Lonchura striata: one gene and its partners. The protein of the gene in region 3 purifies or fractionates together with the protein of the main gene of each other region. This does not show direct contact. Links are inferred from orthologs where the notes say so. Each region holds a gene or a part of one and is shown on either strand. Other genes may lie near its edges. The genes, in order: WAPL, PDS5A, SMC3 and PDS5B.

Region 1 (7,902 bases), about 17 Mb from region 3:
CCAAATGGATCCTCTGTTACCTCATCTTCAACTTTGGGTTTCTTAGGAACTTCAGAAATATCTGGTTTGACACCGGGCCTCTTCTGTCCTAATTTGGCCATGAAGGTGGTTTCTCCCCATTTTGTACTAAGGGTGGTCCGTTTGTTGGAAAACACTTCATCAAACTTGGAACTGCCATTTCCCCCTTTCCGGCTGTAGGTCTTTCCAAATCGGGATGTCATTTTGGCTCCTGTTTCATATTCTCTGTTGTGAAAGAAAGAAGAAACATCAATTCATCACTTTTCTAGTACAAATTATTGTTACTTCCACCCTTTATTGGGCATACAAGCACCAGGCATGTACACTGCACACAACCAACAGCTCCATCACGTGTTTCTTTCTAGATGCACTCATTGACATGTGACTGTCACTATGGCAAAAGGTTCTGCACTAAGCACCCACTAAAATAAAAAGAAATTCAGTTGCTTGCACATTTATAAACCAATGGCACAATGAGTCGTTAAGAAAATCTTCTAAGAATGGTATTGCTTTTCTCTAATTTTATATTTTCAAGTATAGAAGGCATTATCATAAAATATCATGAAACAACTCAGCAGTATTTTCACCACATCTGAACACACAGCTCCCTCCTAGAGTCCAACAGCATAGCATGGCATAAAAAAAATCTCTTGCCAGTTAAATACAAAAACTGAGAGAATATTTCACATTGCTGTAGATGTATTTTAAGTACTAATTAATCACAATGATGACCACTCCATCCCACATTCATCTCTCACACTCAGACTCACGTAACAGTTGTTTTACTTGGTAACATTATGTGGTCAGGACTGGTGCACAACAATCCCCCACAGGTAAATCTGATTCGTCAAGGGACAGAACAGAGACACTGCTCAATCCACCTCTAAGAACATGGAGGACACCTTCAGCAGGCCCATGTAAACCAGTACTGCTCACTGGCTCTTACAAGCACAACTGCTCCACAGCCTGCTCAGAGGAACAGAAGTGTAAAAGTAACACATTAAACAGGAACACATTTAAGAGTTCCTTGTATGTGCTCTTTTTCTAATTTTGTTTAACTCAAAGATTTTTACCCAAAAACAAACACTAACTGCTGGACAAATGACAACACAAACCCCAAACTCTCATATCTGTTTTGTGAACCACTATTTCTCTCTTTTTGGCCCAAACATGGATAGGAAATTGCAATTCTTTATAGTCAGCCTGAATCTAATCAATTCCATCCTTCTCTCTGAAATACCTCTCCATACCAGAAAAAAGTCTGCTAAAAAAGACAGTTATTTAAGGTACAGAATCAAAGAAATCTAACTTTTGAAATGTTAACTAACTTCATATAAAGTATATGAAAAATGGCAGTTAAAATAATTTTATTGGACTTATAATGATCTATTTGTTCAATACAACTGTTTTTATTATTACTCCCCGAATATGTGACATACCATCATTCCTATTTTAGTTTTCATCTCAGCACTCACAGCTTCTCAACCTGAAGTGGCAGTCTTGCTTCTGCCAAAATTGCCAGACTGCCTTCCAGAAATGTCCCTCTATCACTTCATTCTAGCAATACTGTCTCACTATAATAGTCTCCCTCTATTAGACCAGACCAACCTTCACTTACCATTGGAACCAAGCAATTCACGGGGAGAAAACCCATGGAGAAAATTTAAAGTGCATTAAAATGATCACATTTGAACTTCAGAAGTTTACCAGGTGGATGGTGATGCAATGCAGAAGAGCTACAGGAATACCCACTTTGGGAAAGGCTCTTTTCCCCCGTGGTGCAGCTGAGGGAGGGTAAAGGCAGGTGCTCATCTGCTGAGCAGAACTCTGCTGCAAAAGCCACTCTTCAGAGGGCTCCTGGCTGTTCCTAGGAGACAGGGCTCTTGAATCCCACCTCCTCTTTTCCACACACATATCACTGCCAAACTCCTTTTCTTTCTCCTCTGCATGGAGCTCCAATTTTGTGTTTTCTATCTACACATAGTTTAGAAAGCAAACAGCAAACAAAATCTAAATTACCAGTTTTATTTTGCTGATGCTTGTAAATATTTGTAACAGCAACCAAAATATTTTACACCAGAATAGCCAGGTTTTTGAACTGTAGAAGCTGAAGTAAAATATTTACTAATATCTCAGTTTCTAACAACTTACAGGAAAGAAAAAACCATTTCACTGACCACCAGCATATTTTCCTTCCCTACACCCTCAAGACTCAAGTAAGTATTAGTTATAATAAGCACTATAAGAAGTACTCAGACAAGTATTTTTTATACTATGTTCCCAACCTATGCAAACTAATGACAAATTTAAAGTATAGCTTGGGGCTTGCAGTTCCAAAGGGAAGATTCCTGTAGTCAAGAGGAGTTAATTTTCAGAAAGTAAACTCCATTTTCTTATTTATAAATTTTAAAATTATGTTCATCTCATAAGTTTTAAATCAAAACACCAAAACCCGAATTAATACTCAATATAATGTGCACAGTTTAAAAGTATTAGGAAAATATAAATACTCTATGCTATACTCTTATATCTTAGATTTAAGAGCATAAAGAGGTGCTTTCTTACACGAGAGCATCAACAGAACAGGATTTTTCTCTTTACTCACAATTTTCTCTTGATTTTTCTCTCAGACGGAAATAAAACACTTGGTGTAATCTCACTCTGTTTCCGCTCCCTGCCTCCCTCGCCTGCATTGTGCTGCACCATTTGGAGCAATACAAGCAACGTAAAGACACGTAAAACCCAAAAACCACAGTTTTCTCTCCTTTCCCAGCGCTAACTCGGCGGACCAGCTGGGGACAAAAAACCCGGTAATTCCCCAGGAAGCCCATCGGCCACCCCTACTCATCGCTCCTCTCTACACCGCTCCTCTTACATAATCAAAGGAAAGAAAAATAGGTTAAATGCAGGGAGGCAGAAGGAGCTGATGAAATCCCACGGTGACAGTTTCTTTTTTCCTCCCTCCCCTTGCGGCGGGGGGGCGGGGGTGCGAGCGGAACCGGGTCACCCCGCCGCTCCCTGATGTCATTTCCCGTCCCGCGCGGCCGCCTCGCCCGCCCCGCCGCCCCACCGGCCCACATTACACAAGTGCCCGGGGCAGCCGCGGCCCGCGGAGCCGCACCCCCCCGCGCCGGCCCGAGCCAATTCCCGCCCCGCAACTTCGCGCCGGGCCGGGGGCGGCGGCCCCGCACGCCCCTGCAGGCGGGACAGCGCCGGGGGCCCGGCGGCGGCTGCAGCCCGCGGGGTGCGCGGCCCGCTCGGCCCCCGCCGCCCCCTCACCCCGCACCCACCTCGGCGTCAGCGGTGGCGGCGGTGCCGGGCGCGGGCCCGGCCGATGTGGCTCCGGCCGCGGGTTCGGGCCGCCGAAGCGCCGCCTGCGAAAGGCGCTCAGCCCGCGGGACGCCTCCGCCCCTCCGGCAGCGGGACCCTCCCGGGGTGTCGCGGGCGTCAGGGCCCCCGGCGCCGCCTCCTCCGGCGCCGCTTCCTCCGCGCCGGGATTATCGCCGCGCTCGGGACGGGCCCCGGGACCATCTCTCCGCCATTTGCCCCCGCTCCTTCCTGCCGTCACCGCGCGCGCCCCGCCCCCCGCCACCGCGGCCAATCGCCGCGCGCCTCGCTCGGCCGCCCGCGCCGCCTCCGCGCATGCGCCCATCCGCGCGGTGCCCGGCGGGAGTTGTAGTTTGTGGCGCGGCGCGGGCCCCGCGGGGCCCGGGCCCGGCCCCCGGAGCCGGCGGGCGGGTCCCCGCGGCGGGGCGGCCCGAGCCGGGACCGAACGGGGTGGCTCGGCCCGGCGGGAGCCGGCGCTTCCCCGCGGCCGCCTCCGCCCGGGCCCGCGCGGAGGCTGTGAAAGCTGGGCCAACGGGGCCCGCCGCGAGCGGCCCCACCCCGGTGGCGCCCGGGCCCAGGTGTGTCCCGGCGCACGCCGAGGGGTGCGGAGCGGCCCGGCCCGTGTGCAGCCGCCGAGGGGCAGAACCCTGCCCGGGGGATCGGGAAGGCGGCAGGCGCTGAGGCGGCCCTGCGTGCACTCCACAGAAGTTTGCGGTGCGTCGTGCGGGGCACGGAGCCCCTGCGCTCCCTGGGCTGGTACTCACGCTGGGCGCGCAGAGCCGGCCTGCACATCCGCTCCGCGCAGGAAACATGCTCTGCGGGAAGGGCCGCCCAGGCTGCCGAACTGCGCCTCTCACATGCTCCCATTTCCACAAGCTGTTACAGCCACCCACAGATTTATGCACACCTTTGAGGCGTTAATTAACGATACGCACTGTGCGGAGAGCAAAAATGCTCCACGAGGATTGTATCATGCAGCAAATACATACGGACATCCAACAGTCGCCAAAAACACCATTTCATATTCTGTAGGTAGTATTTCACAACATCCCTGTGGGATAGAATAGTAAGGATGCATGACAAGAAAAACATTAAACAACATCACGCAGATGTAGTTTAGTAATTTTTCAAAGGAGTGAGGAACTTGGGAAAGTCAAGTGAAATTCTACAACTTTGGAGTCTAAAATGGTTTCACAACACATGCTCATACTCAAACCTTTATTTGAGGCTTTACAAGTCCCAAACGCAGAACTAATTAAAAGGCTGATTTGACTGCGCAGAAGATGTTAGAGTTGTCTCAATACCTCTAGGTGTTTTCTTAATTTTATATTTACTTTACCCAATGCAAAATCACTGCCTCACAATAAAAAGATGCAAGACTGGTTTTGTTTCGTGATCCTCTTGAGTAAATCTGGTCTTTGCCCCATCCCTACTGATGTGTTGGAGCTTTCAGGCATTACTTCTGAAGCACAAACATGCTGTGAACATGCTCTCTAAATTCAGTATACATCTGGCAGTGTTGGAAAAAGTGGAGATAAAACAAACGGGGCCTTGCAATGAGAAGTATAAGTTCCATTTGAGGTTTGTGTTGTATCTCAGACAAGGCCTACAAGCTCACCTCTATCTCATCACCTGACTCAGTTATTGAAGAGCCCCTGGAAAACATGGTACAGACTTTAAAATCCATAATTTGACTACAAAAAGTGAAAAGATTTTTCTCCTGAGAGTATTCTTGATTAGAGCCACTAAATAGCTCATTTAAACTCCAAGAGTAAAATGGATAGTTAAACCTGTTTCAGTTTGCATAGTCTTACTTGGTGACTGATCTGTTAGACAAAGAGGAAAACACAACTGTGAGAGCTTGAAACACTGAGGCTCTGAGAAGTTCTTTACAACATAAGAGTTTGTCCTGAGAATCAGAAAAAGTGAAGAATATGGCCAGAAAAGTGAAGAGTAAGGAAGCAACACCAAGAAACTATTAGGAAATTGTTTCTATTTTAATATGAAGCTGGAAGAGTTAAAATTAAATTAGATCTATTTCCAATGTAAAGCCTGGACTACCTAAGTCACTTATACAGTAATGTAGAGAGTTTTCCAGATAGTAATTAGATGTATTTGAAGGTTCTTACACACCTTATACCCCTGGGCTAGCTTCATATTTCTAGCTGTATTTCCAGTCTTTGTAAAAACCTCGCCGAATAATCCAAACCACTGCAGATTCATGGTCATGAGGGAATTACCCCTGACTAACAGAGGATAAATTAAACTTATTTATGTGCTGCCTATCCTATCCTGGGTACCAGCAGAAGCCTGTAAGTGAAGCGTTTTGGTAGGATGATGATGGGAAAAACAAACCTCGTTGTGTTCAAGAACAGCAGAGATGTGCCAGTTTTACTGCCCCAACATACTTAAGGTACTTTGAAAATTTTGACACCCTGCATCTTAATAAGCTTAGCAGTTAACACGTTACACTTTGCTATTTCCATTTGCATCTGGCTCACCTCAAATATGCAAGTACCATGGCAGAGCAAATAAAAGCCAAATCCCACCTGCATTTGGCAGTAGCTATGTTTCATTCTCAGAGAGTGGAATTTAACAGGCATTTTATGCTTTTTGTGAAATTATATTACTGATAGTTGCCATCTCCATTCATACACACACACACAAAAAAAAAACCACCAAAAAAAACCCCCAAAAAACCCCCAAAAAAACCCACCCCAGAACAAAACACCAACCACATAAATCCTTTCACACACACAAAAAAAAACAGCCTATGAAGCACTTCAGACTGGCATTTGTCTTCATTATAACAGCAGTGGGAGATATGCAGCCACTTTCAAACTGTACGTTTTCTACCTTAAAAATTTTCTGGGAAAACCAAAGTGAATCCTACAGCTTCCCATTACTGCCTGCCCCCCTAACCTCCCAAAAGAAACTATCATCTTTGCTGCTTATAATAAAGTCAGAAAGTCCTGAAAAACACAGCTCAAATGCATCAAAGGTGGATATAAAAGAGATAAAAACATAGTAGGAAGGAACACATAAGAGGGACAGAACAGTTATTTGGATACATCAGATCTTAATACACTCTGGACCCCTCTCAGTTCTCTTCTTGAGGTTCTGTGCCAGGACCTGTGCAGGGCAAACAATACAGAATTTTCCAAATGAGCTACAGCCTAGTACAGAGCCTTTCAAAAATATTAAAACATTTAAAACTGTTTCAGTATCTTCCAAAATAAAAGGGAGGCAATGCAGTAGGAAAACAGAAGGTTTCCTGTGCAGCAGATACTCTTGGGGAAGATGAAGAGAATTTACATCCTCCCAGAAAGCTGTCAGGAAGGTTTCTCAGTGCTGCCTCATGGAAAGAACATAGCATTTGACAGTAACAGCAGCATGATTGAGGCTACAGGTTTTAAAGGCACCATAGCAGTAGGTATCCTTTATATCAAGTACATGAAGTAACACCATAATACACCCTTGCTCCAGTCCTTTTCCCACAGAAAGGGAATAAGCTCACAATCCATCGCCCTGTTTCCCTGTGAAGCACTACCCAAGAAGCAAACAGTAGCTCATAGGCCAGCTCTCCCCATGCTCCTCATGCCTAAAATGCTCCTATCACAGCTGAAAGCCTCTCAGTCCACTCCTCCTCTGCCTTTCAGCCTAGTCACCATTTGCCTTTCAAGTTCTCAGCTTCCTGCAGTGCTTCCTTCCTTGCCTCTTGCCCAGGTGGGAAGGGATGGGGGTGAGGAGGATGTTCTGCTGCACTCACAGCTGCTGCAGTGCTTTCATGTCCCAGTTAGCACCATTTACAATGGTAAACATTTTGGTGCTTTTTGCTTTTTCTTTGCCAAAAGTCACCGTGCTCCTGTTGCTGTCCTTCAAATGTCACAGGCACACATGGGTGAGAGCACACAGGCCCTTGCCATTTTGATTCACTGGGGTGAGAATTTCCCCCTTGCTATTTGCACAGCAAAGGTGAGAGAGGGTAAAAAGACACATGAAGTAACTAATTACCATATTTTAGTTCTCCTAAAATAGTGACTAAGACTTTAGTATCACCAGTAGCATGCTGGAGGAAGGGCAGCAGCACCAGCCCCAGCAGCAGCACAGGACTGGGCAAGAAGGGCAGGGTTGTACTGAGAGCTTCACTGGTCAGGCATGATGGGTTGACCCAAGCTGGATCCCAGGTGTCCACCAAAGTCCCTCTGTCACTGCCCTCCTCAGCTAGCTAGGGGAAAGAAAATAAAACAAAAGGCTCATGGGTCAAGAAAATAAATAAAACTAAAATCTTGAAACACCTTCCCTACATCCTCCCTCTTCCCAGGCTCTTTGCTCCCAGTTTTCTGTATCTCCTCCCCCCTCTCACATATTCCTCGCTCCAGCTGCAGTTGGGCAGTTTTCTTCTTCCCTTTCTTATATCTGTTATCCCAGAGGTGCCACCACCATCACTGTTGGGTGTGGCCTTGGCCAGTGCTGGGTCCATCTTTGAGCCAACTGGCATTGGCTGAATCAGACACAAGGGATCTGGCAGACATCTGGCAGCTTCTCACAGAAGCC
Region 2 (7,533 bases), on a different chromosome or scaffold from region 3:
CATTTAAAGTTCTAGAAAGTTATCTTCTGAAGAAAACTTGAAGAAATTGAACAAAACTTTTTCAAGAATTTCTATCCCAAGCACAGCATCACCATAACATTCCACATACCAAAATGCATTTGCTTTTGTAAATTAAGTTGATATAAAGAAGCTCGAACTTCATAATGAACATACACATTATACAAAAGCATAAAGAAAAATACATTCATTGGTTTAGTTCTAGAGTGTACAGTACTTCCCATTTTCTTAATGCTTCAGTAAAGTCCATACCTGACAAAAAAAATTCCTCTAATTCAGATTAAACAGTACCAATACTGTAAGAAAAATCTTTCTCTTTAGTTTCAGACAGAAAAAGAGTGTCAGTAGGTGCAGCAGCAAAGTATTTTTTTCTATTTGAAGTTACTCTCAAATTTTTTGGCTGTCTGAAGTCCGTAACAATAATTCATTAAAAAACAACAGGAAAGAAGTCTGCTCTTAGCCTGGAAAGCATGTCTAACACACACATGAATTCAGTAAAACATGTATATATGATTTTGAAATTTCATTATTCCTATTATATAGAAATGACATAGTTCACCATTCCAGATCCACCAACTGGGACAAAATAAAATATTTGTTTCAAGGATCACCTCGAAACTACATTCCTTTACATTCCACAGACTTTAATCTGAGGTATCTGTCTAAACAGTCACAACTCTAGTATCCTCTCCTGAAACTGGCAACACTCCACTGCAGTTTTGAAAATACTAGGCCAAACTTGTCCATTCAACAATTTTCAAAACTATAAATGGACAACAAGGCTCATTAAAAAAAAAAAAAAAAAAAAAAAAAAAAAAAAAAAAACACTTTTTAAGCCTAACTGCTTAAAAAACAAAGCACAAAGCCTATGTTCTCCTCACATTTATACCTAAGAAAAATTTTTAATGTACTAACTGACCTGTCCAGACCATGATTTCTATTTTTCAGTCTTTACTGTCATGGGAAACAGATCATCAGATGATAGAATATTTCCAATCTCTAGAAATTATTACTCCATCCTGGGCATAGGACCAAATCCTAGGTTACAAAAACCTTTGGTCCAAAGACCATGGTGTTAACAAATGAGCTGTGTCAATATTTGATCAATGCTCAACTTAATTCTCTATTTTCAGCATGGACTTAAGAAATAATCCTACTGTATCACAGTAGCATTTAATTTTTTTTGCAGTGGAAGAAGGAATTAGTAAAGTAAAAAAGAGGCAAGACTTGCACTCCTCCAGGATGCTGTCAAACAAGCAGAGAAGATGCTTTTCTAGCAATCCGTTTTGCTCAAGAAAATTTAGCAATTTTGTCAATTACACTAAATAGGAAAAAAACAGTATGTATCACACTAAGTTAAAAAATCTTGAAACAGGTTTTACATTTGAAACTATTTCAAAATTCCATCCATAAAGTCCACAAATTAAGCTTTGTTTTTTGCAAACAGTGTGATCTTTTCAATCATAAATACCCTTATGTAGACCTACTTGTTTCCTCTGCTCAACTATACTTTCTTCAAATGCCAGAACCCAAAAAACCACCTGGCTTGCAAAAAAGTTTTGCTAGCATATCCTGTAATTATTACTTATGATTCCACTTCGAATCTCCTCTCTAGACTGTGGATATGTTTCGTGTACAAATTAGCAGTTAATGTATCAAATCCAGCATTGAGAGAACGCACAAGAGAACAGTAATGAATTACAAAATATGGGAAAAATGGGTCCTCCACTCTTAAGGAAAAACAATGAAGTCATATTCCCTTAAAGGTCTGCAGGCAGGAAGGACAACAAAACTCTGGCAGTTCTCCATTCCAGCGATAAAATGTTTACCTTAACAAGTAAAAGTTGCAGGGAGGGGAGTGGTAGTCAGAATTGCTCACCTTTAACCGTTTAACCACCTCATCGTTGGTAATTTTGTCCGTAATCTCCTTCACTCCAGGAGGATAGTAGATGATTTTACCGTCGGCAGCGGGTTTTGGTTGGGTAGCAGGGAAGTCCATCCTGGCGCTGCTGGTTATAAACTTTCCTTCTCCACAGTCCTCTACCGGCCTCTATCGGTCAGAAAACAAAAGTTCAGCAGAATGGAAACGACTTTCTAACCCTCTTTTTCCATTCCTCACCCTCAATTCGCTGAAGGCCCCGGCTATCGCCCCGCCGGCCGCGCCCCCCAGCGCTGACCCCGCCGCATCCCGGCGGGAGCGAGGCCCGGCCCGCCGCCGCTCCCCGCGACTCGGGCCTCTTCGCTCCCCTCCGGCGCCTCCTTTCATTGCCAGGCTGCTCCAGCCCGACACTGTTAGTTCGCAGCCGACGGTTTTACAATGAAATTTGGGGCCAAATCGAGGGATACCCCGCGGCCGAGGGCCCCTTACGGCCCGGGGGGTGGGCCGGGGACGCCGTTCCCGGCCCCAGGAGATGGCTCAGAGCCGGCACACCGGCTCGGAGCCGGGAGACGAGGCCTAAACAGTTAGGCCTCAAAACTATCGGGAGGCAGAGAAGCCAACAGGAGAGGGGGAGGGAGGGAGGAAGGGAGGGAGGCGGCGGAGAGCGCAAACAAAACCCCCCCGCGAACCCCCCATTCCCTCAGAGCCCCCCGCCCGCCCTCCCGCGCCTCCAGGAGCTCCCCCGGAGAGGCGGCCCGGCCACTCGCCACTTTCCATTTGTTCCCGCAACTTCATGTCCCCTCAGCTCTCGCCCCGCACCCCCCCCACCCGCCCCGCCGCCCCGCATTCGGCCGGGCCCACAAAGAGCCCCCCGCAGCCCCAGCTCCGCGCACACACCCCCGCGGCCGTGGGGAGCGGGGAGCGAGCACGGGGGGAAGCGGGACCCGGAGCCGCCTTTACCTCATGCAGCTCCGGAAGGTGCAGCATTGAGCAGCCTCCGTGCCGGGTGGTGCTCGCCGCTCCGCCGCCACCCCGCCGGCCGCTGCCCTGGGCACTCCCGCCGCCTCCTGCTCCGCGGCGCGGCAGCTCCTGCTCGGGAGCGCTGGCTGGGGGAGGGGGAGCGGCTCGGTGGCGGCAGCAGCGGCAGCGGCGGCGGCCGGAGAGAGGGGGAGGCTCGGGCGGAGCGTGCGCCGCGGGCACCCAGCGCCGCTCTCCGCCCGCCCAGGGAAGCGCAGCCCGGGCGGAGCCTGCGCGTCGCCCCCGCCCCTTCCCCTTCCCCTTCCCCTGCCCGCCCGCGGCCGGCGGCGACGCCCCGCCGGGAGCCCGCAGCCCCCGCCCCGGGCAGAGGGCGAGGCCGCCCAGTAAGTCTGGCACCGCGCGGAGCCGTGCGCACGGAGGGCTGGAGCGGCGCTGCCTCAGCTTGGCTCCTAAATCCCCCCGGGGCGGCGATGCCCGGCTGGCGCCGAGCGGCGATGCCCGGCTGCCGGCAGTGTCAGCGAGCGAGCCCGCGGGTTCGCGGCTGCAGCGCGGGAAGCGAGTTACTTTGCTGCTTCCTTACGGAGCCCAGGCCGCTCGTGGCTGCGCGGGCCGGTCCCTCAGGCGTCTGGGGCCTGGTCAGCATGATAGAGAAGAGTGTGCGGAAACAGTGTGGGGGGCAGAGTGCTGTGGCCGGCGAGAGTGAGCAGTCCTTCTTCAGGCAGATGAGGGGAAAGAGGAGTATCCATCCTTTGGTTGTAAATCTTAAGGAGAAACTTGACTATGCAGACCAAAGGAGCCCTCGCCAGCCAGCTCAGGAAATCCTTCCGTGCAAAATGTCTTTCTAATTTAATATTCGTATTTCGAAGGGATGGGGTATGTCTGGAAAGGCAATAACAAAGTGGGATAGATCTGTTTGTTTTGAATCTGCAGTATGTACCGTGTCGTGTTTGAAGTGTAGGTGGCTATGAAATATTTTCTAGATGCCCATGCTGCTCAGAGAAGATGTGTGACAGCTGAAAGATGACTCTTAACTGATCAAGACTAATTTCAGGTCTTCAGCTGTTTATTTTTGTTATTCAAACCAGCTAAAAGTATTATTTTTCTTAATTTTGCAAATCTCTAATGAATTTTCTTTAGAGCAAGTTGAAGGTGGGAGGTCAGGACTAGTCTCCATGGAGGGATGTTTCTCTCCATGGGGATTGCACAGGTATGACAGGAGCCTCTCTACGCACAGCAGGGTGGTAGCTAGCATGGCCTGGCAGTGGCAAAGGAAAGGTGCAGGAGGGTGAGGGGATGGGATAGGGGTAAGTAAGATTATGGTGAAGTATGCCAAATTCCAGCTTTACAAGGTGCGGGTGGAAAACGTACAAAGACTGAAAAGCTTTTTGGAGCTTCAGGTGTAATAGCATGTGGGTAGGAAATTGCTATCCTACACTTGTGGTCCTCGTTTCCCTGCATTGTTGTCCTAGGGGAGTTAAAGCCTTGAGTGTCCACAGCCTCTATGAAACCAGCTTAAAAGGATTATAGTGAAAGTGACTGAGAGTTGCAATGAACACTTGGAGAATCTCAGACACTGATTTTGAAATTTAGAAGGGTGTCATCAAACCAGGCATTTAAATCTGGCTGTGAATCCAGACTTAGATAAAATGATTCTCTGTCAGCTTAAGGATCAGTGGATTTGGACATTGACAATAGACAGGTGACCCTAAGGTTGTACTGATTTTAGTAAATAGATAAAGCATGTAATCTTTTTTCCCAATCTAAACTGAAGGGGCTATTTAGATTTGCCTTAATGTTGAAGTACTGAGACTAGCTATCAGCTTTAACTTGTTGTCAATCAAATGAGATGTACTGTCAGAGCTTATATACATTGAACATATATTTGGGTCTTTTATCCTTAAATTTGTTACATAAGGTGCTTCCTTCTCCAATCAAATTACTAATATAAACCATTTGGTGTAGGTTCCTTATTTTTAGTACACTTCTGATAGCATAATAAATTAGGAACAACTCCTGGAAGATTATTCTGTAACTAAATAAAGTATGTATATCAAAAACCTATATGAGCTCTTTTCACTTTAAATAGGAAAATAATCTAAGTAAGTAAAAAGCAATAAATTAATTGAAAGAGTCCATTGCTAAGGTTTTTTTCATGAACCAAACATAAAGCTAGAAAGATGTTAGGCAGACTTCTCTTTGGGCAGAATTGAAGTGCTACAGGTTTTGCATTCCAGAAATTTGACCTGTCTGAATTTCATGGATTTTGATATTTGTTTTCAAATATTATTTAGTTGTTATTGAAAAGCACTGTGTTATGTACATCATTCGTGTGATCTACAATAGCATAACTTCTTGTTGTAATCTTGTAGTTAAAAGATTTTTTTTCAACAAACTGACGCCATTTTTACTTAGAATTGTTTATACAATGGGTTGTGAAGTAGGACTAAGAACATAATGGTTAAGGGCTACTCTCCCACAACTTGCTTTTAGTCTAAGACAAACACAATGCAAAGCCTTCATTATGCAATTCTAATCACTTTTATTTTTCACCAAATAAGATAATGTCTTGCATTGTAAGGAATATGTACATTGAAAGTAGCATGTAGTTAGACAAGGCAATTAAAAGATTTTACTTGAGAGAGCCAGGCAAGGTTTGCTCATTCAATTAAAATTCCGTTTCATCTTGCAAAGTTCTTAGTGACTCCCCACACTGAAGTACTCTTGGCTGTGGACCAAGATCTTTCTGTCTTCTTTCAGATTTCAGATAAATAGTGAAGTTAGAATAACACAGTAGGTCTTGAAAGGCATCAGTGGAAGGTTGACTGTCAAGGAGTTTGCACAAGATTCCTGCTTTTATGGGAAATGAGTGATTAGTCAGCAGTATGTTAGCCAGATATGTAGTGTTTTGAGTGAGTCTTGGACAAATCATATCAGCAAAGTGGCTGAGAGGAGTAGGTGTAAATTTCTGTAATCATGGGCTGATTAGGCAATGGTTCTATCTTTTCTCAGAAGAGCAGTGGGATTTGAACTTCTGCACCATTTGAAATTCTAAAGGGCTAAAACAGAGCATGTAGATTCGATATCACACCCAATTAATGAACACTTAACTGCCAATTAGTTTGAATATATGCATGGCATTTTCAGAATGTAAAAACATAAAAGCTTCAGATAATCTGACCTGTTGCACTCCTTAATCTGTATAGTCTTGAAATCTGCTGTCATCAAATACAATTACAGCTGCTAGTCTCTGGTTTGTTGCTTTTGCTTGTTTGACCTTCACCCTTCTAATTTCAGCAAGCAGCTGAGATCTGACTTGGACTGTGCTTGTACAGCTGTAGCCAGGTTCACATGATCCCTTGGGTTTTACTGGATGGCTGTCTAATAATATTACTGAGTCCTTTAGTCTTTACCCAGATTTTACTGTTTGCATCAGAATTTTATTACCTTCACTCACATTATTTTTATTGGTATGTATTTGCTCTGATCTGCCTTTGTTTGTTTTGATTATATTTTAGACTATGATTGCAATTGTTATTCATAAGCAGACTGAAATAAAGGGTGCCGAATACCTGTGTGTCAGCTTTGTGAGGCACTTCTTTTATTGTATTGTGATAGGACAGGTTCAAGGAAATGATCAAGAAAGGAAAAATGTGGTTTTATTGGTAGCAAAAATAATGCAGCACAGGGTTTTCAGAACAAAACACTCTTTGGGTGAAACAGAAGAGAGTACGGAGTGATTACTTCAAGCATAGAAAATCCTTTAATTCATGTTGATCAAATTAAGCTATGCTCACATGCTTCCAGAAACTGCTTAGTGGTTCTCCTCAGGTCTTTATTAAGACAGTAAACATAGATAGTAACAATGACTAAGAAGTAAACAGTGACATTAAGACATGACACTGTGTTGTGAACTGCAATAAGTAATATCTGTCATTGCATTATAATATATCTTCGATAACACCACCTAATTGTTTTAACTGCCTATTTTAATAATTGATGTATTTTACATCTGCTGTAAAGTGAGGTGGGTCAGAGGTGAGTTTCTTGACAATGTGCATTGCTATAATGAAAAAGCTCCAAAAGGTGTTCCATTCCAGGGGGTATTTACAGTGAAATTACTCTTAGAAGAGCCCAGGAAGTGAGCTTTGCCAGAAAACCAGGGACTTGTATATCTCCCATTTTCTACATTGACAAGATAAAATCGGTAAAAGAGGACTTATGTGTATTATGTCATAAAGACAGTCATGGAGACACAAAGTGCTCCTGTGGAAGAATCTCACTGCTCACTGAGTCTTCATGGAATAGTACCAGTTCTGAATAAAGGGAAGGACCACACACTGTATGGATGATAAACTCTTTAGAAACTGATCCATAGCCATGATTTGTCTGAATGTTATTTTTGCTCTGGTTTTGGTAAGGAGGACTTCTCCATGTGCTGCCTAAAAATGCCTTTATTCTGAATCATGCTTGGAAATAGGGCAGTTATCACAGAACTATAGAATAGTTAGGGTAGAGAGGGACTTTAAAGGTCATCTAGTCAGTCCAGTGCAGTAAGCAGAGATATCTCCATCTAGATCAGGTTGCTCCAAGCCCTGTCCAGTGTGACCTTGCGTGTTACCACAGATGAGACATCCATTACCTTTCTAAGTAACCTGTTC
Region 3 (7,421 bases):
ATACTTCTCAATATTATTAGTGCTGAAGCTTAAGATATGAAATTACTTAGATTTTTTGTTTGTAAGGTCTGTGGTCCCATCACCATTTTCTATTTCTCTGAATACATTGTTCCTTCTCTCTTCAAGTATTAAAGTAGCTCATACTCCAGAAACTGAGCAGAATACTTTTTATTCAACCTCAGCAAAAAGCCTAGAAGTAGTACTGCAAACATTTAAGCAAGCCTTTCCTCACTACCACAAAAGCCTCTATTACATGTACACTCCAGCACCACAAGAAACAACTACCTTCAGCACTGCTTTCATATTCTGTCAGCATTAAACAAACAGTGGGGGAAAAAATCCTGCCCACAAAAAGTACTGGACAAAAGACTGGGAGAAAAAAAATGCCAATATTTATTCATGTCAAGTTTGATCTTCAGTCTTTCTCCCATTATGTGACAGGCCACTAAAGTATTGTTTTGGAAAACTCCTCTTATCACCTGTTTGTACTAATGGATTAAAACCATCTCACTAATATTGAATGAAAATGCCGTGTCAGACAGCAAATCAAACACTGGAATTTATAAAAACCAAAATGAAATGCCACTTTAAGACATTAACTAACTTTTAGTCAGAATTCAAGAGACCTTCTCTTCCCAGGAGGCACTGTGGCTTTATGGTCAAATTCTCTTTGCAAAATTATTTCATTACTGGAATCCAAAGGTAGGCAGCAAATTACTAATCCTTGACTATCAAACATCAGAGCGAAGCAGAAGCTACTCTGGAAAAGGAACAGCCTTCCACTGCAGCTTCCTTCAATACTCTGCCCACCTTAAACCTCTTCTGAACTGCCAATCCTTAGGCCAGACACCGTTTTCTTTAACCACCTGCACTGTATTCAGATCCACTGCACTGGAAGCAATCAAAGATTTCAGAACTTAACGGACCCAACTACAGACAGCAAGTTTAAGACAATGTATGGACTGAAGACTGCCCAGGTACTGTGGCTGTGAACACAAACACCCGACCTCCCCTAAAAAAACAGTCTTTTTCATCTGCCAGATGGAGACTTTAGCAGCAAGCTCTGTGCCAGCAGCTTTCAAAGGAAAAGCAGGAACAGAATATCTTAATCAGATCCTGCCACTGACCCTAGGCCACGGCAACTATGTTCATTCATTTTGATTTAACATATTTAACAACAAAAATATTTTTAAAATCCAAACATTTTGAGACAGTGCTGCTTCCAAACTCACTAGATTTCAAGGGGAACGGGAGAAATTAAAAAATGGGCAAAAAAGTTGGTCTCTACCACTTTTCATTTTTTCACATAATATATAAAAATCATCTGAATTGGAATAATGCATTTATTCTCATAAGAACCTGGAAGCCTCTACAAAATGACAAACCCAAACAATTACTATTTCTGGAATATTGCTATAGAAGCACAAACTTTCAGCAGCCACACACCCGGGCACCAAGGGAGTGTGATACAGGCAGGCTCTGAACACCATCATCTTCTCCCCAAAGCTTTTCTCTAGATGGTTTATCACTTCACCCATCCTACATATTCTGAAACCTCATGACTTCTTCATTGCCTTGTATCAACTCAGATTAAGACTTAAATATTTTTAATGTTCAAACTCCAGGAACAATTTCTGAAAAACAACAAAACAGGGGATACTGATGGAATCAAATTAATTCTCATTCTTTTTGTTCTCACACCCGCACAGTGCTACACTTTCTTCTATAGCCCCTATAACAGTATTGGTTATTGGCCACCCAAATTTCCTTCTTGGTGTTTTTGTCAAAATGAAACGTTTCTCCTATTCTGAGCTAATTTAGACTTACTCTATAGATCTCCACTACTGCTTGCTTTTCAGTAATTCAAATGTGGAGAACAAAACCTATTCAAAGTCTTTAAAGCAATGTGCCCACCTATGATGATTAATCAAGAGTGATTTACAAAAGTACAATCAAAAGGCAGGCGTTTGAAACACCGCCCAATCAGCCAAACAGTAGATGAAAACCTGGTATCTATGAAGAACAGGCATTTCAAAGCTAATAAAGTATTCTTCTTAAGAAAAGCACCTGCAGGGTGTGAGAAACAGGTCAATTTTGAGTCCACCAGGAAATGAGAATCTTGGTAGGCTTTGTATGAACACACATATGCAGTAATACGAGAGCAGTAATAAAAATCTGCTGCTAAACTGGCTGCAGGGAAACTGCCGAAGTAATATAATGATGATCTCAAAAACTGTTTGAAAAAGGTGTATACAAAAAGGTGTATACCAGGATCCTTTTAACTGAGCACCAGCCATAGATCGTTTGGCAAGGGTGAATCGTAAATGGTTCATGCCCGGGGGCCTGAGACAGCACCCCAAGCAGAGACCCCACAATGTGAACGGCTGAAAGATGCTGCTGACAGCCGAGCAGCCCTTTGTTTGGGTACGAGCGGCCGGGACACCGGGGCTGGCGTACAAAGGGGCCCCGCGAACAAGTCTCGGGTCCATGAAAGAGACCCTAGCGTCTCTTCACACCTGCAATGAATGAAAGGGGAGCAGAGAAGCAGAGAAAGCACCGCCTGCCCAGCCGGCGGTAGGACCTGACCCGTGGACGGGCCGGGGGCGCCTCCCTTAGCCTGGACCTCGATCCGACCCCCGGGACAGAAAAGATCGAAGCAAAGGACCCCGAGCCCGCCGCAAGCCCGCGGGCCACCTGCTTCGGGCCGGGCAGATATGAACGTGCCGAGCCCCCAGCCCAGGGGCGGGATGGGCCAACCCCCTAGGCCAGGCACAGGCCGCACCGCACAGTGCGGGCGGCGCGAATCCCGCCGGCTCACCTGCTTGATGTACATATTTGCCCAGGATGGGGGAGGCCCGCCAGGCTGTCGTTCAGCCCGCCCTCGCCGTCTCTTTCCGGTCCGAACGCTCGACTTGACCGCGGGTCTCCGCCGCCGCTTCCCGCCCCCTCAGCCGTGCCCCGCTCCCCGCACAGGGCCCGCTCACCCCTCACGCAAACAAAATGGCGGCGGACCCGCCCCGTCCCGTCCTGGCGCGAACCATCCAGCGCCACTTGGAGGGAGAACTGCGGAGCAGAGAATGCTCTCCTGTACCGCCGAAGAAGTGACAACGCGTGAAGCAGCGGGAATTTCCTTTTCCAATATTCTAAAGTGCCTCGGTGATCTTTTGGAGGGCGCTGCGTAGCGGGGAAGGCAGAGCACCCTGCCTCCCGGGCGCCGGGTCCCCCCCGAAGAGCTGGGAGAAGTGGTTTCTCCCGCCGAGGGGCGGATTGGGCGCCAAAGGCAAGTTGAGGCGAGCGGGGCGAGGGGCTGTGCGCGCCTCTAGGGGGCGCTGTCGGGGCCGCCCTGAGGGGCCGCTTGCGCGGGAGTGGGGGCAAATAAAGGCTCGGTCTGAACACCCGGCTCCCGTTCCAGGATCTAAAAATAATTCTTTTAAATAAAAATGATGATAAAAAATAGGCCTTAAAGCCTGCACTGATGCGCCCCTTGTCGCAGCACAGCCGCTCCCTCAGCCACGTCCTCCAGGCTGTGTAGGGCTGGGGGCCGAGTTCTGCGTCCACAGGGCGAAAGTCTGGGCGAAGCCAGGCGGGTGCCGGGGTGAGGTGGCAAACAGCGATGCTGCGAAGCATCCTCAGCAAAATAGCTCGGCTGGAGTCCGTGCCCGCTCCTTTACCTCGCCGAGCCACTATCCAGCTCCCCGGAGGAGCTGTCAAACACACAAAAAATAAGCAAAATGGTGGGAGAGAAACATTAATTTTCACCTAATCTCTTCCACTTACGGTGATTTCAGGTGTTGTTGTGACAACAGTCGGGGTGCGACATCTCAGAGAAAATGCAATTTTCGATTTGACAGTGCTCCTTCAAAACTGCAGCTGGAGCCAGCACTTCTAGACATGCCATAGAATTCTGCCTCTGAGCCTCTTAACACTAATAAAAACTAGATTTAAACAGAAAGTTTCTGCTTCTCCTAAAATAATAGATGGATTAATTACTTCTCTTTTCTAATGGGAAAATCTCACCAGTCGCAGACATTCTTAAGTGCCATGTAATTAAATGGTTTTGCTAACAGCCCTTCAAGAAGCTATTGTAACAGATTTTACCAGTACCTATAAAGAAATGGTCCATTGCTTCTTCAGAAAACATAGGGCTTAAAAAACTAAAGTGTTTAATGGTTACTCTACAAACAAATTCAAAATGAAAATTTCCTGCCTGTCTCATTTGGCTTTTAAATAGCTTAGTTCAATGTGACTGAAGGAAAAAATATTTTCTCTATCTGCATTTCCAAAATCCCTTTCATTTTAGGATTTCAGGGAATTTTAAATCCTCAAATAAATCTCACTGTATCTTTCTGGGATTCGTTTGTGATACTAAATTTACCCTTCTTTGCTTTTTCTGAGGTGAAGTGAGTTAGATATGCCCTGTAGTTCAGGTCCCACATGCCTGGCCCATCTCAGGACACCCCTGGCAGGAAGGAGAAGAGAGTTTAAGAAAATAAACAAAAGTCACATTCCCCACTTTTCCTTACAACACAATTAAACTATTTTGCACCTGGTTAAAAGAATTATTTACATCTATTTTTATGTTAATATTATCATGCAAATAAATGGTATCCATTTACACAACCTAGATTACACAGATTTTTTTTACACGTTCTAAGTAAACCTGGAATTCTCTGGATATCTCCTCACTACCAATCTCCTGCTAAAGACAGGTGGATGTAGATGGTAAAGTTCATTCCTCTTTGTCTTCTGCTTTTAGAGGTACAGGACGCCTTGAGTCACACCTTAGAGATTTCCTTTGTAGTTCAGAAGCTTATTTTCACTTAATCATAGACTGCCAGAGCAAGGAATTAATCTTCCTGCCCTAAAGATGGGGTTCAGAAAAACCAGCTGAGGAAAATTTGTCTGTTCTCTTGACTGCTGCAATGACATTTTTGTGCCTGAATTCACCAAGTCTTCTTGAAAGCCCTGTGTCGAGCCAAACAGCCCACATCTGGTGCTCCAGACAGATTCCTGTTGTTGAGGTGCACCAAGAAGTGCATCACTCTGTTATGAACAAGCACAAACAAGGACCTGGCATCTCTTTTATCCCCAGGTGTTCATTCTCTCTCGAGGACTTTGGATATACAGCACACTCCAGCAATTTGGAGAGGGCTCGTGTGCATGTAAATGTGCACAGACACCACATTATATTTATTCATAAGAATAAAATCACATCCCACTGATATTCCATCAGCAAACATCCTCACCAGTGTGACGTGCTTGCAAAAATAGCAACTGTATTCATTAAGGATTAAGTGGCAAATGATTGTCTGGTTCAAAGAGTGTTTCAAATACTCAAATAAGGCCCCTGCACACAGGTTTTGCCACACAGCTTTTAGAGATTGTATTTGAGGAAGTGGAGTGGTGGGGTAGGTATTATATTTTCTGTTATTCTTTCGGTTTTGTAGTACTTGCTGAAAATATGCTTCCAACCCAAGTGTGATGCATGTAATTTTTATTCTGTCAGGTTGCTGTGGCTGTAGGAGTGCAGAAAGCTGGCAGCTTGTAAAACAGCACTCTATATTGAGAACCTGCAAACATATAATCACTGCTTGCTACACGAGGAGTTCACCTTGCTTCCGTAGGTGCTGCAGAGATTTTTTTCCATGGCCCTGCTTTATAAGCAGTGTTTTTGCATAGTTATGCTAGAATTAGACATTAGCATCAGAAAGGAGGAAGTGGGAACACTGCTTTAATTCATCTAGTCTTCATCAGCATAAAAATATGTCAAGCATTTCTTTCATTAAACTTACCAGGAACATATAGATGGGAATTCACTTCTGTAGATTTTTTTCTGTCTTCTCAAATAGTAGAATTTCTCTCAGAAAAAAAAATGTTAAACCTATTGCAGGGAGGGACAAAGCACTTGAAGTGTTATTAACCTCTTCTATTACCACTTTCAATTGTGAACCAACACTTGTATAGGCTGCTTTCATTCATGAATGCTTGCAATCACTGAGGTATTTATTGCCTTTTTCAAATGCCTGTATAAATCAGTATGTGCACTGCAACATCAATCTCTTGTGCTCCCATCGCTTGAAATCATCAGGGGAGGCAGAACTTCTGGAGACTGTTTTTCTTAGTGCTGGTGTCGCAGCAGAATCTCAGGAGCAAACCGGGGAACTTGGATTTTAGTTGACACTTTGATTAGACCCTGCAATTTGAACTCAGAAACAGATAGTCCGATGTTCTACGCCCAGGCTGGGAAACAAAGGCAATGAGAAAGTGTCTTGCCCAAGGTCAAGCAGGGTAACAGTGGGACAGCCAAGAATACCTCTCCTCCTAGAACACCTGTTACATGTAGCGAGTGTAATTCGCGCTAATATAATATGATATGTATAATATTTGATATTGTTGGAAGCACACGGGCTGGCATTGGGAGGTGCCCCCACATATTCGAAAACCGGTTTCTGACAAAACCTTATTTGCAACCTAATACATGTTGCTCGCCCGGAGATGGGTCGTTCTTCGAGGTGATACAGGAATGCCCAGGGGCTGATCATCCTGGCAACGACCCTAGATGGGGCTGATACAGCTGAATGCCGTGCTCCCGTAACTCCATCAAGAAGATTCATCACCACCCGACACCGAATTGTTCCACCCCAACACAGACAAAAGAGATTTTATGAATATGTGGGACTTTGAATGGGAAGAAAAGACGGATTCCCCGAAATCCCGGCGTCAGGAAGAATATTTCCTATAAAAACTGCTTGTGCCAAGAGGATGGTGTGTGGGCATAGGGGGAACCTCTGCCGAGGCTATCCGCTCTGTGATGCACCCAGCACCGATCCCGGACTCGGCACCGTCCTTTTTCTTGTGGCTGGCTCAGAGAGAATTCGATCTTAAAAATAAAATTTTAATTTTTCATATTTAATTTGGCTGTATCAATTTTTATCTATAACACACCCAATCCTAAATCCTAAGGCAGCAGGGCCATAATGCATCTTTCTCTCACCTTTGAACTCACTAGAGATCCCAGCAGGTGAAGTAGGAGAAACCAATGCTTTCTTGACACACCCTGGCACATGCATCCACCTCAATGCAGACAACCCACCAAGCTTTTGCGGGACAAGGAGCACTTATGGTGAAAAAAATGCAAGCAAACCAGACATGGACTTCCTTTCCAACAATTTCTTTTTGACTTGAATAAATTACTGAGCTCTGCTGCTCTCAAACCCTGTAGTGACCTATGCCTTGCAATGCACAGTCTGACTCCTCAGCAGCACCTGCAGAAATATCTGTAATTTTGACAGCGAGCAACTGCCTGCCACAAAACTTAGAAGTGGGAGCCCTAAGCCTGTAAGAGCCTTTAAAGAATGTCAGTTTGATAAGGGCTGGATGTAATTACAAGTTGAGATGCTGGCTGCACAGCATTAGCCAGT
Region 4 (7,595 bases), on a different chromosome or scaffold from region 3:
CTATCAGTGCTGTTCAGATGCTCCAGAGGGTCTACAGATCTGGAAAATGAACACACTTCACCACTAAGCACTATCACACTAACACACCTTTTAAAAGTTTCCTCAGTTTTTTCCCTTACCACCTAGTTTCAGAATTGACTGAAAGCCTCCAGTATTCTCTCAGTCTATCCGACGATTATTTCAGGTTCAGTACTGATATTTTGTGATAAGAGTAAAGACACCATTACTTTAGATAGGTGTTAGAAGAAGAATGATACTGACAAGTGGTAAGACAATGTTGAACATATCAGAACTACTTGTTGATTCTAAAAAGGAACTTCTCTGAAGTAAAGACATACCTTCCTCTTTCTTGGCATAATATTTGGGGCAAGCAATATAAAGGAAGAGGATATTAGAGTGAAACTGATAGGGAAAAATAATGAATTGCAGTATCACATTTTCCTTCCATCTCAAATTTTGCATACTTTTACTATTCAGCTTCACATTTTCTTATTTGTTGCTCCCATGAAAATTCTCCTTGTGCAACAAGTAGTCTTTATCACCTCTCCCAATTCGGGTTTAAAGAAATAAAAACCATTAACACCAAACACCTTTAAATGAAAATCCTTTACTAAACCAGAAGACTCATACCCATAATACACATACACCCTCTTACTCTTCTGTAAAGCTATAAATTGTGTGACTGAATGAAGAAAGAGGAAAAAGGCATAAATTGAAAGCTTGGTAGAGAGCAACATCCCAAAAGAAAATGCATCTCTCCCAATTTATAGGAGGTAACAGAACCTCCTGTTCTACAGGATAAAAATGGATAATGCTTGAGGTTATGCCCATATTTCATTACTGTGCTTTCCCAAATGGTAGCAATGACTTTCAGCTTTTATATGGTCAATTACAACTTAATAATGACTTAGGTGACTTGCTCAATTTCAGTTCATAAGTACTCATGTTAGATAAAGTCTAAATTCATTATTTACAAGAGAAAAAAGAAGTTGTATGCAAGTACTAAACATATGATTTTCCATTTTAATTTAGTTGTTTCATTAAAAGCTGAACCATAGTTTATCCAATCTGTATACTAACTAGTAAAGAGGATGCAAGAAACGCATAGGCAAATTCTACAGTATAGTATCTGTATAAAAATCCCAAACAAAACACCACACTCCACCCAGACACATCATACCCTCAACCTTACAGTAATTAAGTTCAACCTTGCTTCAGACACAGACACAAGATGTCATGCAAGTGCTAAAGTACTAAACTACTTCCTCCAGCAGTGCACCGTTTCAAACGCTGTGATGCACATGATACACACACCTCTGCTAAACCACCTTACCTGATGGCCTGTCACTGTCAGTCTTCTTTCAGGTGGTCTGAGCATGGCATACATTCAGCTCTTCCACTTCTTTTTGAAGAGTTACTTTACACAGTGTAATATCTAGCATATCTAACATAAAAAACATACCAGGCAAAATTTCTACCACCTGAAAACTGAACAACTCCACTAGTTTGAAAGGGGAAAACCTGAAAGAATGCACATCACCGTACTCCCTTCCCAAAACGTGATTTGATGCTCATTTTCAACTATAAAGCCACTCAAATTTTCAACGCTCTTTCTACTCCATCCCCAGTGAAGAGAAATCAATTACAGCTAAAGCACCCACCCGGCAAGCACAAAACAAAGACCAACACGAGAACGCTTCAGCAGTTGTATTAAACGGGAAAACATAACGCCTAACTAAATAATCAAAGCTCTCAGAAAGCAACCACGAAGCTAGCAAGCATAAAAGTCGGAATAAGGCTAGCAAGACAAAATCCAGCTCTGTAGGAGCCGGTCTGCTGCAGTTTAATTTCCAGGACTGTTGACCATCATTAATTGTCGATTTGTTTTAAAGAACAGATAGTGATTTACTTGCAGCAGGATGAAGTTACGGACCTAAATTCCTGACCGGAGGCTCTCAACGTAAACAATACATAACCTATAAATTAACCATTCTCCATCTGGCAATTCAGATGTAAAATTCATAGTTTTCCATCTACCAGGCGGCGGCAACCACCCCCCCCCCCCCCCCCCAGCTCCCCCCCGTTCTCCCTTCCCGAGCCTGATGCAAAGTGGGAGGGAAAAAGAAAGAGGAGGAATGGAAGGGGGCAAAAAAAAAAAAAATTAAAAAAAAAATTAAAAAAAGCTAAGCCAGCATGAAAGAACCGGGCTCGCACACAAGTAGGAACGCAGCAAACCGCGGTCCCCGGCACCTCTTCCCGCTGAGGAGCACTGCGAAGTGCGGCGCGGAGAGACCGAAGCGGGCGCGGAGGGGACGGGGATGTCCCCGCGCTCAGCCCGGGAAGCAGGCGCGCGGGGCGGCGGGAGCCCCGCGGAGCGGGGAGCAGGCCGGCTGCCCGGGGCGCGGAGGAAAGGGACACCCGGGAAGCCGCCGCCACTCACTCAGTCGCTCCTAGCCACGGGCGAGCAGCCTCCCCACCCCCCCTCCCCGCCACTCCGCGCCGCGAGGAGCCACCAGCGCCGGGCGCGACACCGCCCGCCGCGCCACCGGGGCGAGGGGCTGACCCCCGGGCCCCCGCGCACCCCAGCCAAGGTCACCCCATCGCCCCGGGCGGCGGGCGGGAGGGGGGAATTCAGTATTTGACGGCGGCCACGGAAAAGGGGGGAGGGGAGCAGCCCCGCGGAGGGGCGAGGGGGATGGGAAGGGGGAGCTCCACCGCGGGCCAGGGGAAGCTCTGCCCTCCCGCTCCCCCTCTGCTGCCCGTCCGCCTCCAGCGCTGCCCGCGGAGCTCGGTCCGGGCGGGCGTCCCTCACGCCCCCGGATAGGGAAAATGGAGCGGGGACGGGGTGGGGGTACCTGCGGCCGAGGTGCCGCGCTCCTTACCCCACTGCAGCCGCCTCGCCTCGCTGGTCGCAGGCGGGTCCGCTCCGCGCTGCCGCCGCTTCGGGCTCGGAGAGGCGCTGCCGCCGCCGCCGCCGCAGCCAATCGCCGCCAGCCCCCTCCCCTTCCGCAGCTCGCCCCGGTCCCCCTGCCGGCTTCAAAATGGCGCCAACTCGTCTCCGGCTGCTCCAATAGAACCGCCGAGGGGAGCGAGCGCGGCCAGCGCGGGGCAGCAGCGCCCCCTGCCGGCCCGGCCGGGGCTGAGGGTGGGCCCGGGCCGGCTCCCGCTGATGTGCGCGCCGTGGGCGACTGAGGCAAACGCTTCCCCAAAACGGCGAATTACTAAAGGATTGTTGTTAAAAAAAAAGGAATAAAGCCGCTTAACTGAGGAGAAAGAGCAGGAAAAGTAGCATAAGTCACTTTGCTCTTGCTTCAGTGAGTGCAAGAGTTTGAGGGGGGCCCTTACAGGAAAACGCAAACAGAAAAGTAAAGGTGGTTTCTTCTTGCCACTGCAGCTAAAAGGCTTCATTTATTGTAGAACCATAGAATAAGTTGAAAAGAACCCATGAGCATCATCGAGTCCGGCTCCTGGCCCTGCACAGCGCCGTCCCCAAGAGTCACACCATGTGCCAGAGAGCATTGTCCAAACCCTTCTTGAACTTTGGCAGGCTTGGTGCTGTGACCCCTACCCTGGGAAACCTGTCCCAGTGCCCGACCATCCTCTGGAAGAACTTTCCCCTGACTCATCAGGACAGCATGTAAGTGTTACAGGATTATGATTTAAAAAACACAAATCACACTTAACAGACCTTCTGAAATATACCCACAGCTTCGTCTAGTGTGAAAAACACTTTGACAAGACTGTTAGCCAATACATTGTAACTAGTGGTTCAAATCTCTCAGAAGCTTTCTGAACTTGCTAATATATTGTACCCAGCATGCCTTATCTTTATTCAGTGCTAAACTACCTCATTTTCTAATACAGACTACATCAGCCCAACAAGAACTATTACATACAAATCACTTTGCAGGCTCCCAAACTCCCCTTGTTGTTTTTTTTTTTTGTTTGTTTGAGTTTTTTGGGGTTTTTTGGGGTTTGTTTTGTTTTGTTTTGTTTTGTTTTGTTTTGTTTTGTTTTGTTTTGTTTTGTTTTTCCCAGTGACTTTTTCCAGGGATTTTTTTCCCTTCTGGGAAAAAAAGGAAAAAAAAAAAAAAAAAAAGTAGAGACATAAAAGAGCAGAAGGTTTGTCTGACAATTTTGTATTGAGAAGGATCCTGGACTTGGAGTCGAGATACAACTTTTTGATGCAGGTTGGATAATTTCCCTTCAAATCCCACATTGCTGTCTATCTGAGTTCATGGAGTATAAAGCCTTAGATTGGGGAACACATCCTTTCCCAGTGGAGCACTTGCAGATGTCTGCAAGGATACTTACAAAGCAGCAGAAAACTGAAATACTTTTTGATCTCTCTTAACACTGCTATTGAAATTGCAAAACCCAGCGTATGCCTGTGAAAGCAACCGGGGCGCTGAGATGGCTCCGTTGTGCTCCGTTTTTCTGATGGAGCAGGTACAGTACCACCACTTCCAGCGCCCGATCAGGACGCCAGGAGCGGCGGGCGCTCCCCGGAGCGGGCCAGGGCGCTGAATAACGGGACGCCCCTAGGCACGCTCCGCCCTGTTTCCTGCCTGCGCCGAGACCCCTCACGATGTGGGAATCGGGGATTTGGAGGCGGCTCTTCAGCCGCGCTTTCCCGCCCCGCCCGGGTTCGGCAGTGGCGCGCGCGGCCCTGCGGGGGGCGCCCGCCCGCCGCCGCCGCGCTCACCGCCGCGGGAAGCGCCGCGAACCGAGGCTCTGCCTGCCGCGCGGGCCACGCGCGCCCGCTCCCTTCCCCGTGCCGTCCCACCCGGAAAGATTGCCAGCCCTGCCTGTGTCCCGACGGCAGGCTCAGCCTTCCCCGCCAGAAACGTTGCATCTCTCATGGAACTGGTGACTCGAAGCAGGCTTGCTAAATTTTAGGGGATTTGCAACCTTCGGGAAGTGTAGGAAAATTGTGTTACTTACAGAAACAGCATACTTGAGAAAGATCGAAAATATTTGTGCAAAATAAATATTTTGCTTGCAGTAAGGCATATAAGAAATGTCAGTGTCACAGAACTTCCAAGACCAGATCTTTTACACAGAATCATAGAAATATTTAAGGCTGAAGAACACCTTTGAGATCTCTGTGCCCAACCAGTGACTCAGCACTGCTGAGTCCACCACAAAACTGTGCCCCCAAATGCCATATTTACATGTCTTCTAAATACCTCTAGGGATGTTCACACCACCATTTCCCTGGAGGGCCTGTCCCAGTGCTTGACCACCCTTTCAGTGAAGAAATTTTCCTTAATATCCTAAACCTCCACTGGCACAACCTTGAAGCCATTTCCACTTTTCCTGATACTTGTTACTTGAAAGAAGAGAGTGATCCCCTCCTTACTATAACCTCCTTTCAGGCAGTTATAGAGAGCAATAAGACCCCCACAGCCTCCTTTTGCCCAGACTAAAGAACCCCACTCATTCAGTTGCTCGCCAAAGGACTTGTGCTCCACACTGTGTGTGCTGAAGACATGTTCCATATCTCAGTGTTTAAGTGACAATGATGAACATAGTCAAAGAACACCCTTACACAGCAGTATTCTTCTCACAGCCTTCTGTCTGTAAAAAACATTGTGTGAAAACAGAAGACTGCAGTGACAAGGGCCTTTTAGTCCCTACTTTATCAGATTGACAATCTCTCCCATTGAATCATTTTAGTTATCTCTCTCAATTCATTCTTTAAAATTGTTGTGTTCTTACAGACCAGAACTGTGCACTGTATTCAAGATATGAGTGCATTGAGATTTCCCTCAGAGCAGCAAACTGCCATTTGTCTTGCTCTCAGTACTATTCCTGATGACACCTTACATCTCTGTTGTTTAGTGTTTGGGTTTTTAGTTTTTGTGTTTTGGTTTGGTTTGGTTTGTTTTTTTTTTGTTTTTTGTTTTTTTTTTTTTTTGTTTTTTTTTTTTTTTTTGTTTTTTTTTTTTTTTTGTTGCTGTTGCAGTTTCAGTCAAAGATTTCAGAAAGCTGACATCAGCAACTTCAAGATTTCATGAACTTAGACTTCCAAGTTTGATAGGTGATTCTATGCTTTACCTTACACTGATCTAGTTCTCAAAGCCTATCTTTTTACCCACCCCCTTTTGTGAGGCCTTCTGAAGTTCTGAAGCACCTGATTACCTGAAAGAGTTTAACATCCTACATGTGTCATTCTGTGTGCATTCCCTTTTCTAGGTTATTAATGAAAATCAAAGATTGTTGCATAAAACAACATAAGGAAGCCCAAACATTTCTGGGAGAGAGACTTGCTGACTTTTCTCCACATGAGAAAGTAACCAAAAGTACTCTCTGCTTCCATCCTTCAACCACATTTCCAACTCAGCATCGGACATTTACATCAATTCCAGTACAATTTTGTTTGACAACTTGTAATAAGAAAGGTGCAGAAATGCTCTTTAAAAATACAAGTGTGTTCCCTGTTTTGTCCTTGTCCATGCACTTCCTGACTCACAAACCTGCTAGAAGTCTGTGATAGAGTCACTATCTCCCTTCACAGAAACTACACTGGCCCTTTCCCAGCACATTATCTTTATGCATTGGCGCTGTGATCGTACTCTTCTATGGTATTGACCTTTCAGTGTAAGTATGAACAACTGTCAAGGTAGTATCTGGTTTGTGAAAATGATACTTTTTGTTTCCAGCATAGATAAAACACTTCCCTTTGTTTCCCTTTTAATTGTCACTCTAAAACAATTGCATCAAAAGTATTTTACTAGCAAAACAATTCAGATTAAATATATGTAATTTATATATTGAGCCCTTCACACTGAAAGGAGCCTTTGACGTGTAGGAGGGAGGCTTTCTACTTGCAGGTGTACTGATTTGTTTTTTAGAAAGAAAGATTTGTTCATTTATTGGTGTTCCTCTTCAACTAAATAGCTGATAATATTATGAACTTGCATTAACTTTGCAACTAATTTTAGTATCTCATATGTCTCTTAAGTAATTTGCAAGGAAGCCACATGGAAATAATGACTTTATATGACTGGAATTTTTAGACTCTTACTCTGTGTGTGTGTGCTGTTTCCAACACTGTCTCCCTGTAAACAAAAATCAAACAGCTACATAAGACAGTGATGCTCAGAACCTATTAGCTTCAATATATGTCCAATATAAATTCTGAAGTTTAAAAGTACCACTTTCGTCTTAGTGCTAATAAGTCTGATTCTACCAGAAATACCTATTTGTGCCTGTCTTGTGGCTGTTTTCTAATAGGAAGACAAGAGTCATTATGTACTATATGGAATTTCACAAAAACAATCAAACCAAACCAAACAAAACCCAACAAGAACAAAACTAGAGAGGATACAAGGATGTGATGTTATTCTTCAGTGTGAGGACTGCAGAAAGCTTTTCACTCCACCCACTCCTCTGCTTTCTTCATTAAATAATTAATAGCTATACTGGGACACCATTAAGATTAAATGACCTACTAAAGTAAGTCTGTCTATTAAAGCAAGAAGCATTACGCCCTCACAAACATGTCCTCAGGAACAAGCTGTAGATGTATATTTATCTCTGACTTCTTCCTAAAGAGGTCATTGCCTAGTTGGAGACATGCATGGGAAGAG

The links.
Region 1: the proteins of SMC3 (region 3) and WAPL purify together in Homo sapiens (affinity purification with mass spectrometry; 7 studies listed by BioGRID and IntAct, with this or other methods). This does not show direct contact. The link is inferred for Lonchura striata from reciprocal best matches to the Homo sapiens genes SMC3 and WAPL.
Region 2: the proteins of SMC3 (region 3) and PDS5A purify together in Homo sapiens (affinity purification with western blotting; 8 studies listed by BioGRID and IntAct, with this or other methods). This does not show direct contact. The link is inferred for Lonchura striata from reciprocal best matches to the Homo sapiens genes SMC3 and PDS5A.
Region 4: the proteins of SMC3 (region 3) and PDS5B purify together in Homo sapiens (co-immunoprecipitation; 7 studies listed by BioGRID and IntAct, with this or other methods). This does not show direct contact. The link is inferred for Lonchura striata from reciprocal best matches to the Homo sapiens genes SMC3 and PDS5B.

What each region holds. Positions count from the first base shown.
Region 1 is NC_134609.1:5,932,825-5,940,726, forward strand, and holds the start of WAPL (wings apart-like protein homolog), read right to left. Parts: upstream 3,010-7,902; 5' UTR 2,725-3,009; coding exon 2,624-2,724; intron 244-2,623; coding exon 1-243. UniProt on the Homo sapiens protein: Regulator of sister chromatid cohesion in mitosis which negatively regulates cohesin association with chromatin. Involved in both sister chromatid cohesion during interphase and sister-chromatid resolution during early stages of mitosis.
Region 2 is NC_134606.1:23,095,195-23,102,727, forward strand, and holds the start of PDS5A (sister chromatid cohesion protein PDS5 homolog A), read right to left. Parts: upstream 3,008-7,533; 5' UTR 2,885-3,007; coding exon 2,858-2,884; intron 2,069-2,857; coding exon 1,898-2,068; intron 1-1,897. UniProt on the Homo sapiens protein: Probable regulator of sister chromatid cohesion in mitosis which may stabilize cohesin complex association with chromatin. May couple sister chromatid cohesion during mitosis to DNA replication.
Region 3 is NC_134609.1:22,966,376-22,973,796, reverse strand, and holds the start of SMC3 (structural maintenance of chromosomes protein 3), read right to left. Parts: upstream 3,002-7,421; 5' UTR 2,834-3,001; coding exon 2,819-2,833; intron 1-2,818. UniProt on the Homo sapiens protein: Central component of cohesin, a complex required for chromosome cohesion during the cell cycle. The cohesin complex may form a large proteinaceous ring within which sister chromatids can be trapped.
Region 4 is NC_134604.1:67,448,405-67,455,999, forward strand, and holds the start of PDS5B (sister chromatid cohesion protein PDS5 homolog B), read right to left. Parts: upstream 3,016-7,595; 5' UTR 2,883-3,015; intron 1,423-2,882; exon of another isoform or gene 1,334-1,422; intron 1-1,333. UniProt on the Homo sapiens protein: Regulator of sister chromatid cohesion in mitosis which may stabilize cohesin complex association with chromatin. May couple sister chromatid cohesion during mitosis to DNA replication.